Linked DNA regions of Macaca fascicularis. The protein of the gene in region 2 binds, or shares a complex with, the protein of the main gene of each other region. Links are inferred from orthologs where the notes say so. Each region holds a gene or a part of one and is shown on either strand. Other genes may lie near its edges.

What was found.
Region 1: the proteins of RHEB (region 2) and MTOR are in contact, whole or in part, in a cryo-EM structure (PDB 6BCU), measured with the Homo sapiens proteins. The link is inferred for Macaca fascicularis from reciprocal best matches to the Homo sapiens genes RHEB and MTOR. Residues at the interface, in NP_005605.1 of Homo sapiens: Lys5, Ser6, Arg7, Lys8, Arg15, Pro37, Ile39, Glu40, Thr42, Gln57, Ala62, Asp65, Tyr67, Ile69, Gln72, Thr73, Ser75, Ile76, Asp77, Asn79, Asp105, Met106, Val107, Gly108, Lys109, Val110, Ile112; in NP_001373429.1 of Homo sapiens: Arg62, His69, Glu73, Ala101, Thr102, Ile104, Gly105, Arg106, Asn109, Tyr110, Arg112, Asn113, Phe140, Glu143, Tyr144, Phe147, Glu154, Arg160, Thr969, Gln973, Phe977, Lys980, Glu1010, Phe1011, Gln1014, Met1018, Ser1050, Thr1051, Asn1264, Lys1293.
Region 3: the proteins of RHEB (region 2) and PDE6D are in contact, whole or in part, in a crystal structure (PDB 3T5G), measured with the Homo sapiens proteins. The link is inferred for Macaca fascicularis from reciprocal best matches to the Homo sapiens genes RHEB and PDE6D. Residues at the interface, in NP_005605.1 of Homo sapiens: Pro2, Gln3, Ser4, Gln57, Asp77, Gln176, Gly177, Lys178, Ser179, Ser180, Cys181; in NP_002592.1 of Homo sapiens: Ile53, Leu54, Cys56, Val59, Val80, Gln85, Cys86, Leu87, Glu88, Glu89, Trp90, Ile109, Glu110, Ala111, Ala112, Pro113, Gln116, Met117, Met118, Leu123, Tyr149.

The regions. Positions count from the first base shown.
Region 1 is NC_088375.1:223,546,788-223,550,758, reverse strand, and holds the start of MTOR (serine/threonine-protein kinase mTOR), read right to left. Parts: upstream 2,803-3,971; 5' UTR 2,707-2,802; intron 2,371-2,706; 5' UTR 2,278-2,370; intron 19-2,277; exon of another isoform or gene 1-18. UniProt on the Homo sapiens protein: Serine/threonine protein kinase which is a central regulator of cellular metabolism, growth and survival in response to hormones, growth factors, nutrients, energy and stress signals.
Region 2 is NC_088377.1:192,793,006-192,796,997, forward strand, and holds the start of RHEB (GTP-binding protein Rheb), read right to left. Parts: upstream 2,806-3,992; 5' UTR 2,594-2,805; coding exon 2,542-2,593; intron 1-2,541. UniProt on the Homo sapiens protein: Small GTPase that acts as an allosteric activator of the canonical mTORC1 complex, an evolutionarily conserved central nutrient sensor that stimulates anabolic reactions and macromolecule biosynthesis to promote cellular biomass generation and growth.
Region 3 is NC_088386.1:127,657,586-127,661,098, reverse strand, and holds part of PDE6D (retinal rod rhodopsin-sensitive cGMP 3',5'-cyclic phosphodiesterase subunit delta), read left to right. Parts: intron 1-440; coding exon 441-566; intron 567-1,283; coding exon 1,284-1,389; intron 1,390-3,513. UniProt on the Homo sapiens protein: Promotes the release of prenylated target proteins from cellular membranes. Modulates the activity of prenylated or palmitoylated Ras family members by regulating their subcellular location.

The DNA.
Region 1 (3,971 bases), on a different chromosome or scaffold from region 2:
GAAGTTTCCTTTAATATTCTAAACAAGAAAGTATGGTGATAAATTTACTTATGGCCCTGGTCATCCAACACAGATCTCCCCCAAGCCCTTGTCAGGCAGGGGATTCTAAAAAGGTTGAGAGATCTTATTGAGGAACATTTAGAAAGCCTAGATTCATTAAACAATGACTGATGTTTAAAAGAGGCAGTGTGGTAGGGAGGGTCAAATTGCGGGCTATGGGAGCTAGCCTACTTGGGTTTGAATCCTTGGGTTAGATACCTTGAGCAGTTTTGGAGGCCGAGTCAGGAGGACCACCTGAGGTCAGGAGTTCGAAACCAGCCTGGCCAACATGGTGAAATCCCATCTCTACTAAAAATACAAAACTTAGCTGGGCGTAGTGGCATGTGCCACCCGGGAGGCTGAGGCAGGAGAATCACTTGAACCTGGGACGGGAGGTTGCCCTGAGCCAAGATCCTGCCACTCCACTGTCTCAAACAAAAACAAACGAAAACAAAAACAAGGTTATATACCTTGAGAAAGACACTAAAAATGTTTCTTCAACTACAATAGGAAGATAATAGTACCTAGTTCATGGGTTGATGTGAGGACTAAATGAGTTAATACATGTCAAAAAGTATTTAAAACAGTGCAGGGCATATACTGAGTTCTTAATAATTGTTAGCTATTATTATTACTACTACTACTATGTACACGGCACAGTGCCAGGTAACAAATGTGGGGAGGTAGGGAAAGAATCAAAAATGACTAAGACTGCCCCTTTGCTCAAGTTCAGTCTAAAAAGAGAGATTATTATTCCACAGCAGCATTGTCTAATAGAAATATAGGCCAGGCACAGTGCCTCACGCCTGTAATCCCAGCACTTCGGGAGGCCAAGGCAGGCAGATCACCTGAGGTCAGGAGTTTGAGACCAGCCTGGGGAATATGGTGAAACTCCATCTCTACCAAAAATACAAAATTAGCCAGGCATGGCAGTGCGTGCCTGTAATCCCAGCTACTTGGGAGGTTGAGGCAGGAGAATCACTTGAACCCAGGAGGCGGAGGTTGCAGTGAGCCAAGATTGCGCCATTGCACTGCAGCCTGGGCGACAAGAGCAAAACTCCATCCCAATTGAAAAAAAAAAAAAAAAAAGGAAATACAGTGATCCACAAATGTAATTTTAAAGCTGCTGGTAGCCATATTTTAAAAGGTGAAAAGAAACAGGTGAAATTAATTACTTAAACTAATATATCCAAAATATCATTTCAACATGTTATCAATATTTTAAAAATTGATATAGTGTCCATTCTTTTTTTGTAGCGAGTCTTCAAAATCTAATGTGCATTTTACACTTACGACAATGTCAATCTGGACTAGTCACTTTTATTTATTTTTTGAGACAGAGTCTTGCTCTCCGTCACCCAGGCTGGAGTGCAGTGGCGTGATCTTGGCTCACTGCAACCTCCACCTCCTGGGTTCAAATGATTCTCCTGCTTCAGCTTCCCAAGTAGCTGGGACTACATATGTGCAGCACCACACCTGGCTAATTTTTTTTTGTATTTTTAGTAGAGATGGGGTTTCATCATGTTGGCTAGGCTGGTCTCAAATTCCTGACCTCAGGTGATCCACCCGCCTTGGCCTCCCAAAGTGCTGGGATTACAGGTGTGAGCCACCTGAACTAGTCACATTTCAAGTGTTCTACAGCCACATGTGGCTGGTGGTTCTTGTACTGAACAATGCAGTTCTACAGGGGACTAGCACTTCAAATGTAAGCTAAAAGAAACCAATTAGTTTCTGAGATCATTCCTTCATTCCTCAATTATGCCCACACTGCTATGGGTGGAACATATACCTATCCTAAGTATGTTCAGCTTATGCTACAAAACCAATTTCTCAAAATTCTTATTTTTGAACCAATTTGTAAGGCACAGAGGAAAAACAGGGAATAATTGGTTTTGAAAAGCTTTCAAATACTCCAGTGCCAAGAAGAAGACTGCAGAAAGAAATGTCATCCTTTAGGGGAGAAGAAACTTAAGAATCCCTACTAAGAAAACTACTCCAGTTTGTGTGTATGTGTGTGTGTATGAAAGGGGGGAAGGAGGCTAGCAAGGAAAGGCTCAGGAAAGAACCAGTGTAACTTCATACGGTCTGAGGCCCACAGGCCATCTGCTCCAGGCTGAATTCAATTAAACTTAGGATATCTGAAGTCAAACATCCTAAGGGTCTTGATAGGGCTTAAGTAAGTTAAAATTGGATGGGAGAAACAGGGATGGGGCTGGGGGAGAAGGCGAGAGGATGTACCCCAACGATGTAACCGAGCTCAGTTTCGGTGACTGGGTCTCTGAGAAGTGTCCACGGTGGAGGATAAGGGGCTGACACGGACGCTGGTGTTCCCTGGGGCAGAGATACAAAATTTTTGTACGTGGCTCAGAAAAAAGGGTGGCTGTAACGGGCAAAAGACCCAAAGGGCAGTACCAGAGCTGATGGACCGGCCTTCGGGGGACGTACCGCGGGCCGAAGGGTGCAGGGGTCTCTTGGGGGTCCCGGGGAGGTGGGCGTTGCCTCGAGGGGTGGGACTCAAGGGCTCAGACGATGCCCAGGTCGTGGGGCCGGCAGTGTGGGGACCCCACGTCCCAGACGGGCGGCTTCCCCTGCCCCCCCACGGGCAGGTTGGCCGTAGGTCTGGACATTACGCCGCCTCAGAGGGGTCGTTCCAGGCCCTAGACTCACCGTGCGGCTTCGGCCAAGGCCTCAGCTGCCGCCGCCAGCACCGCTACCGCCGCCTCAGGCCCCCTGCCCCACCGCCCGCCTTCCCCGCTGTCCTCTAAACCGGGAGCGAGGGAAGGAGGGTTCCTAGCCCTGAGGACCAATCGACACGTACAGGAAGAAGATGGACTGAAAAACAGGCCAATAGTAATGAAGAAGAAGTGAAGCTTCAGGACCCGGCTTCTCCAGGGGGCGGGGACTATTCAAATAGACAAACCACGCGGCCAGTGACAGCTGAAAACAGGCTTGGGTCCACTCGGGAGAACCAATCGGTCGTGAGTTGACCTCAGTCACTTCCACTCATACATCCGGTGCGGCGCTGCTAGGATTCCCCTCTGCATCCGGGCTGTGAACTCAGGGAGTCCGCTGTCTGGGTACCTCCGGATCGCACCAAGAGCGGCTAGCAGAGGTTCGCGACCCCTCCCGGTGTAATTCTGAGAGGAGAGTGTGAGCAATGCTGGCGCCCAGGAATTACTGCATCAGAAGACGTTTCGGGCTAGCGCTCTTTATGGATCCTATGATTTCTCTTTTGTTACATTTAATAAGCATTTGAAAATGTTTTTAATTAGATTTTCTCACTTTCCCAAAATTATCCAATTCAGGATCATTCCAGAGAAACCATAGCCAAGTTTTAACCAAAAGAGCTACTCATAAATAAAAAGTTTCAAAGAAACATTATATTTTTTTAATCGTTTCAAAAATCAATAGCTGGCCCGGCGCGGTGGCTCACGCCCGTAATCCCAGCACTTTGGGAGGCCGAGGCGGGCGGATCACTTAAGGTCAGGAGGAGTCGAGACCAGCCTGGCCAACATGGTGAAACTCTCCCGCGTCTCTACTAAAAATACAAAAATTAGGTGGGCATTGTGGCGCACGCCTGTAATCCCAGGTACTCGGGAGGCTGAGGCACGAGAATCGCCTGAACCCGGGAAGCAAAGGTTGTAGTGAGCTGAGATCGTGCCACTGCACTCCAGCCTGGGCGACTGAGAAATCTCCGTCTCAATGAATACATACATGCATGCATGCATGCATACATACATACATACATACATACCAAGGAAAATAAATAGCTGCTGGTCACAGTGGCCCACGCCTGTAATCCCAGCACTTTGGGAGGCTGAGGCACGAGGATCGCTTGAGGCCAGGAGTTCCAGACCAGCCTGGGCAAATAGTGAGACAATGTCTCTACAAATTGGAAAAAAAGAAAAAAGAAATCAATAGCAAAAGTGGAT
Region 2 (3,992 bases):
CTCTGGTATAGCACCATTTGCAAGCTCCCAGAAGTGAGCATGCTGAGTAATCCTCAAAAGGGTGGCTTACTAGACGAAACCTGCTGGCAAAACCTAATCTCCTTCCCCTGCAAAAGACCCCACAAACTACAAAATATCCCGGCTCATAATACACTTTAAAATCAAATGGGGCTGGGTGTGGTGGTTCACGCCTATAATCCCAGCACTTTGGGAGGCCAAGGTGGGAGGACCACCTGAGGTCAGGTGTTTGAGACCAGCCTGAGGGTTGGCCATGTGGTGAAACCTGTCTCTACTAAAAATACAAAATTAGCCGGGTGTAGTGGTGCATGCCTGTAGTGCCAGCTACTCTGGAGGCTGAGGCAGGAGAATCGCTTGAGCCCTGGACGTGGAGGATGCAGTGAGCCAAGATCGCGCCATTGCACTCCAGCCTGGGTGGCAAGAGCCAAACTCTGTCTCAAAAAAAAAAAAAAAAAATCAAATACAAGATTGGGAGCAACTTAACCTCTCCAAAATCGTTTAATATGACTACGCTTGAAAATAAGTATGGAGAAGTGGGGTAGGTTGCAGAAATATGAAATACTGAAGACACAAAATAGGGACTAAAAGTGACCCTGTAACCCACCGAAGACTAAGTTAGCACAGTATTTAACAAGCAGCACTTTAAAATAATGTTTGTGAAGAGACGGCTAAGGGGTGTCCTGTCACATCTCCGTCCTCAGGAGGAAGCTGAATAGAGGGGAAGATAAAACAGAATGGATTTCAACTGGACACAAGGAACTTCTTTAGCAAAAAAAACAAAAAAACAACAACAACAAAAAACCACCAAAAAGTGATAAAACTAGCCCTGCTTACCAAAGACTAGAGCTACCATTTCAACATTTTAAAAGGGTAAATCAGTCAGGATCTTTAGGTCATTCTCTTGGGTTGAAATCAAGTAGCCGAGGTACTTGACCATAATGTGATTATTCAGGGGCTATTTTCAAATAGTTGGCAATAAGTACTTACTTGACTGACTAGGGAGGGCTCACCCAAGAGCCAGGACACCTCGCGCTCCCAACTCCTCAAAATGCAGAGGAGGAAATCAAGAGAACAGAGACAAGAGCATGGATTCAGGCTGCCAATAAAGGTTGGATCCCAGGTTCCATGTAGATATTTGAACAGTTAGTGACTTTGAACCCCTCCATTTGATTCGTGGTTACTTCCTGGCTGCAGCACCGCATCGCACAAGAGTTCCCCCTACGACTCTGGGCACCCCGCATCTCTAGCCAAGCTTCTTTCAGCCCTTGACTTCCTCCAGCTCTCGACGGAGAGGTAGTAAAAGGATGAGTAAGCATGCAGTGGCTGATCTTGGTCAAAGAGCACAGACCCTGGCACCGGCGGTGGAAAGCGCAGTTGGGGAGTGCATCCCGCGAGCGGCTGGCAGGTACAAGCTTCCCACGACACATGCTGTCACCCCGTTCCGCAATCACCGGAGCCTTTGAACCCTCGCTTTCACCTCCCCATCCCCCCAAATGTGGCCCGGCGCACGTCTTCTATAGACAGTTGCTTCAAAACAGCCCGAAAAGATGAACGTAATTTCTCCAGGCTTCCGGATGTCGGCAGACAATACAGCCTCACCCTGAAGCGTGTCTAAGTTCGATCGCTCCGGTTTCTCACAGGCCAGAAAACCGCTTGTTCTGTGACACCCCGTCCGCCCCCCAACCCGACCCTAAGCCACCTTATTCAGCAGTAAGGCGACGCTAGGAACCGTTTCAAATGTACGTCAACCTTTTGGGGGAAGAAAAAGAAAACAAAAAGACTTCGGAATTACTTCAACAGCGTGGTTGCAAGTACCTGACCTTATTCCTTCCCGAAGAAATATAGGCCACTGAGAGATCAGACATTCCTTTTTCTCTGCCTTCCTACCCGGGCCGCCAGCAGCATCTCCAGGGCCTCCAGAGGGGCCTCTTTTGGGGGCTCGCCTAGGTTTCCTATGTACAAAACTTGCGTTCAGAGACCAAACGTTCTCTAAGTCCCTAGTTTTCTTTACAAGGGTAAACTTCACCACAGATGGAATGAAGCCGAGGTGCTGCTTCCTTTGTTAAAATCCCACGGACTTTCTTTTCCTTGCATCGGGGGCGGGGTGGGGGAGACCGCCAGCCCCGGTCACGCGCGCCCGCGGCGAAGGCGGGGAGGCAGGTGTGACTCCTTCCTCGCGGGAGCCTCTAGCGCGGCTCCCTGGCGCCGCCTCATTTCCCCAGACGAGTCCCGGACTCCTCGGCGGCCGGCGGCCCCCGCCCCGCGCCTCCCACGCCCTCCGCCCGGCCGCCACCTGCCCGCCCGGCCCGCGGAGGGCGCCCGGCTACCGCAGCTCCTCGACCGGTGCGGACGCCGCCCCGACCGCCACCACCTCCGCTCAAAATGGTGGTTACGAAACGCGCGGCCCCCGCCCGCCCCGCCACATGGCCGCGCCGGCTCCAAACTTCGCAGGCCCGGCAGCGACCCGGCTTCCAGGCGAGGCCCCGGCGGCGCGAGAAGGCCGCGCGACCACCGGCCACTCACCCACAGACCGGTAGCCCAGGATCGCGATCTTCCGGGACTTGGACTGCGGCATCTTGGCGGCCTCCTCAGCCCCGGCCCAACCACATCAACCGCGGCGGCGGCGGCTCCTGCTGCTGCGATCGGCGGCGGCCGCGCCGGGGGAGAGCGGCATACAGAGCAGGGGCGGCGGCGGGCGCGGCTGCCTCTAGCTCGCTCGCTCGCTCGCTCGCGCGCTCCCAACCGCCCGGAACCGACCGCGCGGCGGCGCCCCTCCCCCCACAACACACCCACGTGACCGGCCGGCGTCAGCACCGCCCCTCCTCGCGCCGTGGCCCGCCGCCTCCGCCCCCTCGAAATACGCGGGGGTGCGTCGGGGCGACGTTTTACTTTAAAGGCAAAAAAAGGGGACGCCGCGATGCCCCCAGAAAAGTCACGACTGAAACTCGCTGCGTCATGACCCTCCCACCTTCTTCCGCCGCTTTTTAATTACGCCATTCTCCCCGAGCGCCGATTGGACGGCACCTGCACAGCCGCGCGATGACGTGTCAGAAACTCCATCTCCCATTGGGGGAGGCAAGGAGGCGGGGCGGAGGAGGCGGGGCTGGCCACCCAGGAGCTAAAAATACACCGCGCTGCTACAGCGCGGTTGGGCGCCGGCGAGGTTTGAAGGCTTCAAACTTCCAACCGGTTGGGGGCGGGCGGGAGAGGCGGAGAGACAAACGGTGGCTCCCCGGTGATTGGCCGGAACGGAGCGCAGGGCGGGGCAATAGGTGGGAGGTGCGGTGATTGGTGATAAGCTGAGCGGTTGGCTGGTTCGCGCCCGCTGAGCCCGTGAAGGGCGCGAGGCTCGTGGCCGGGGCGGGCGGTGGTTGGGCTAGCTCCTCCCTCGGGGCTTTTTTGAAAATTCCCCTTGAGCTGCGTTAGCGTTCGTGTCTGGGTTTGAGGATGTAGTGGTGACTAAGCGTCACCCACGGCCGAAGGACTGTGGGAAGCATGGAGTCTGCGTTAATTCAAAGTGTTAGGAATTTCATTAAAAACAGGGCGAGCCTCGTCAGTTCTGGTGTCTGCTTCGCTTCGCGCGGAGCTCGGCGCACATCCTGGAACAACGCCGGGGCGGGAAGCCGGTTCTCCGCCAGCGCCAGGGCGGCTGGTGCGGCGGGCAGGCCGGAGCCGGGTGCCAGGAACGCCTCGGGCCGCGGTGTGGGCACAGCCTTCCCAGGGGTGCAGTGCAGAGGGGCGCGGGAAGAGAATCCGGGCCGGGAACGCAGGTGCCGTTGAGGGACGAGCCTCCAGGCAGGCCCGGAGTGGTGGCTGCTGGTGGGCTTGGCACTTGCCGAGTTAGCAGAGGCTCCGCCGCGCCGGGGAACCCGCCCCTATTCTGCCGAGGCTGTTTGGCAGTGGGGACCTGCAGAGGCCGGGCATGGCCCTTCGCCCTTTCCCAGTGATCGGTAGGGAGGAATGAAGCCCAGGGA
Region 3 (3,513 bases), on a different chromosome or scaffold from region 2:
TTCCCAAAACCCATTTTGTGCTGAAATTTTACCATTAGAACATACCCGAAGATAGAAACTGAGATCTCAACTTTTTTCTCCAAAAGAAAATTTGCGTTTTTATCTCCCTAAAGTAAAGAAGAAGTAAGGGGTTAAAATCACCAGAACAGAGTAGAGAGAAGGTACCCGTGCAGCCCCCTTCCTGATGAGAGTAGCTAGATGAGGCCCTTAGATGCACAAAACCTGGTGTTCCTTGAAGATCTAATATTTTTCAGATATGAGTGACCAATTAGAGTCCTCTGCTTTCAGCCACACAAAGTGTAGTGCACTTACCAAAGCATTATCCAAAATGTAATAAAGTGTTCTCTAAATCAGCTATAAGAAGCTCCCAGAAATTTGAAGCATCATAGTCATGTGGTTTTCATTTAGAATGGCTTCAACATTTGTTTTTCTCTTACCAGCCCGTGTTCCCAAGAAAATCCTCAAGTGCAAGGCCGTGTCTCGAGAACTCAATTTTTCTTCAACAGAACAAATGGAAAAATTCCGCCTGGAACAAAAAATTTACTTCAAAGGGCAATGCCTAGAAGGTATTCTGCTGCCTGCATGCCTGAAATCAGGGCTTAGGGGGACCAGGACAAAAGGCAACAATACCCAGTGAACTAAAGCAGTGCTTTGATAACATTCCTTTTACAACTCAGTTTGTGGTAGGATTCCTACACTCTGCAAGACTGTGAATCCCCAGTGAAAACAAACCAAAACAAAGCTGGCCACTGCAAGGGGCTTTGAGGTCTCTGACACTGGGAGCATGGATGGTGGTACCTGGTTTAGGCACTGACATTGTATTGTGATATGGTCATGGAGGAAGCTGCTATGAGCAGGGCCTAGTACAGTGCTCTACATACAGTATCATACAGATTTGACTGGCCACTCTGCATTGAATTCTCACCATGCAGTATAAGAGGGCACATAAGCCCCTTCAAGCTAGTCCAAGAGAATTGAGCTATGTATCTATGTATAGTTCACATCTAGCCTACCTCTAAGAAAATGCTGCTTATGTTGTGTCCTGGTCACTGGTCCTAGTCCTTTAGACCTCAAAGCATGAGAAGCAAGGCTTTGGTGTAGTTCAGAGGACAACCTGAGGAGCCTTCCCTGTCTTTTTTATGCCTCTGGTCTGAGAGGTTGCTGATAGCTTCCTTCGGTGGTTCTCAGGGTAGGAAGAGGCTCACTCTAGAGGAGGGAGACAAAGAGCCCTTAAACTTTATACTGGGGCACCTGCTCACCCCGGCTTTTCCTTCTTCCTTCAGAATGGTTCTTCGAGTTTGGCTTTGTGATCCCTAACTCCACAAATACCTGGCAGTCCTTGATAGAGGCAGCACCCGAGTCCCAGATGATGCCAGCAAGCGTCTTAACGTGAGTGAGCAGGTCTCAGGAAATTATGAAGTGTGTCTAGAAACAGGCATTCCAGGCAGGTGGGACTCCTGGTGCCATTGAGTGGGCAGAGAGCTCAGTTGAGAAATAGAGTAAAAGAGTATCCGAGGGCCGGGCGCGGTGGCTCACGCCTGTAATCCCAGCACTTTGGGAGGCCGAGGCGGGCGGATCACAAGGTCAGGAGATCGAGACCACGGTGAAACCCCGTCTCTACTAAAAATACAAAAAATTAGCCGGGCGCGGTTGTGGGCGCCTGTAGTCCCAGCTACTCGGGAGGCTGAGGCAGGAGAATGGCGTGAACCCGGGAGGCGGAGCTTGTAGTGAGCCGAGATCGCGCCACTGCACTCCAGCCTGGGCGACAGAGCGAGACTCCGTCTCAAAAAAAAAAAAAAAAAAAAAAAAAGAGTATCCGAGGGTGTCTAGGTTTCCAGGTTCCTGACCTTTTTCATATGAAAAAGACAGTATGATAGAGTGGAAAGAATAATTAAAAAAAAAAAAAGAAAAAAAAAAACTTTAGATTAGACCAGATTTAAATTCCTGATTCACACTGACTACCTGTGTCATCTTGGGCACTAATACACTTTATCTCTCTGAGCCTTAGTCTTTCATCTCTAAACACAGAAATTAATTCTCTCTTACAGAGGTGTAATGAAGATAAAATGCGATGGCATGGAAGGAGACTGGCATTTAATATATACCGAATCTATGTTAATTTGCTCCTATTCCTGACTACCATACTTCCAGTATCTCTGTATTTTGTTTAGATCACCTTTAACAGAATCTGGCAAAGTCCTATTAATAATTCTGTTTTCAAGGATACTTGGTTACAATTTTTTGGTGAATAGCTTACCATATTAATAGCTTTGGTTCCTGTTCAAAGAACAGTTTGTTTGTGCTTTGTCCAAAAACACTGTCAATAACTTCCCACCTCCCATTGTCTGTGGGAAAGGTGTTAGTCTCTCAAGTGTTATAGTAATAGTACCTTCTAAAGAGTTAGTCCCAGCCGGGCGCGGTGGTTCAAGCCTGTAATCCCAGCACTTTGGGAGGCTGAGACGGGCGGATCACGAGGTCAGGAGATCGAGACCATCTTGGCTAACACGGTGAAACCCCGTCTCTACTAAAAAATACAAAAAACTAGCCGGACGAGGTGGCGGCGCCTGTAGTCCCAGCTACTCGGGAGGCTGAGCCAGGAGAATGGCGGGAACCCGGGAGGCGGAGCTTGCAGTGAGCCGAGATCCGGCCACTGCACTCCAGCCTGGGCGACAGAGCGAGACTCTGTCTCAAAAAAAAAAAAAAAGAGTTAGTCCCAAATTAGCTGGGCATGGTGGCACACACCTGTAATCCCAGCTACTCAAGAGGCTGAGATAGGAGAATTGCTTGAATCAGGGAGGTGGAGGTTGCAGTGAGCCAAGATCATGCCACTGCATTCCAGCCTGGGTAACAGAGCAAGACTCTGTTTCAAAAAAAAAAAGAGTTAGTCCCACAGATAATTGTGTAATATTGGATCATCTCTTTCAACAGTTCCTTTATGAAAGCCATATTGAATTTGTTAAAAATTGAGGTTATTTACTTTTAGGTTTTTTGTTTGTTTTGGTTTTGGGTTTTATTTTATTTAAAAAAAAAAAAAAAAAAAAAAAAAAAAAAAAAAAACCAGGGTCTTGCCATGTTGCCCAGGCTGGACTCCAGCTCCTGGGCTCAAATGATCTTCCTGCCTCAGCCTCCTAAGTAGGTGAGACTACAGGCATGTGCCACTATGCCTGTCTCTACTTTTTAAGGTTTTTTTTTTTTTTTCTTTGAGACAGAGTCTCTCTCTGTTGCCCAGGCTGGAGTGCAGTGGCACAATATTGGCTCACTGCAACGTCTGCCTCCTGGGTTCAAGTGATTCTCCTGCCTCAGCCTCCTAAGTCACTGGGATTACTGGCACCCACCACCATACCCGGCTAATTTTTTGTATTTTTTAGTAGAGACGGGGTTTTGTCTTGTTGACCAGGCTAGTCTTGAGCTCCTGACCTCAGGTGATCCACTCGTCTTGGCCTCCCAAAGCGCTGAGATTACAGGCATGAGCCACCGTGCCCAGCCCCTTTTTAAGTTTTTAATAGTTTTTTT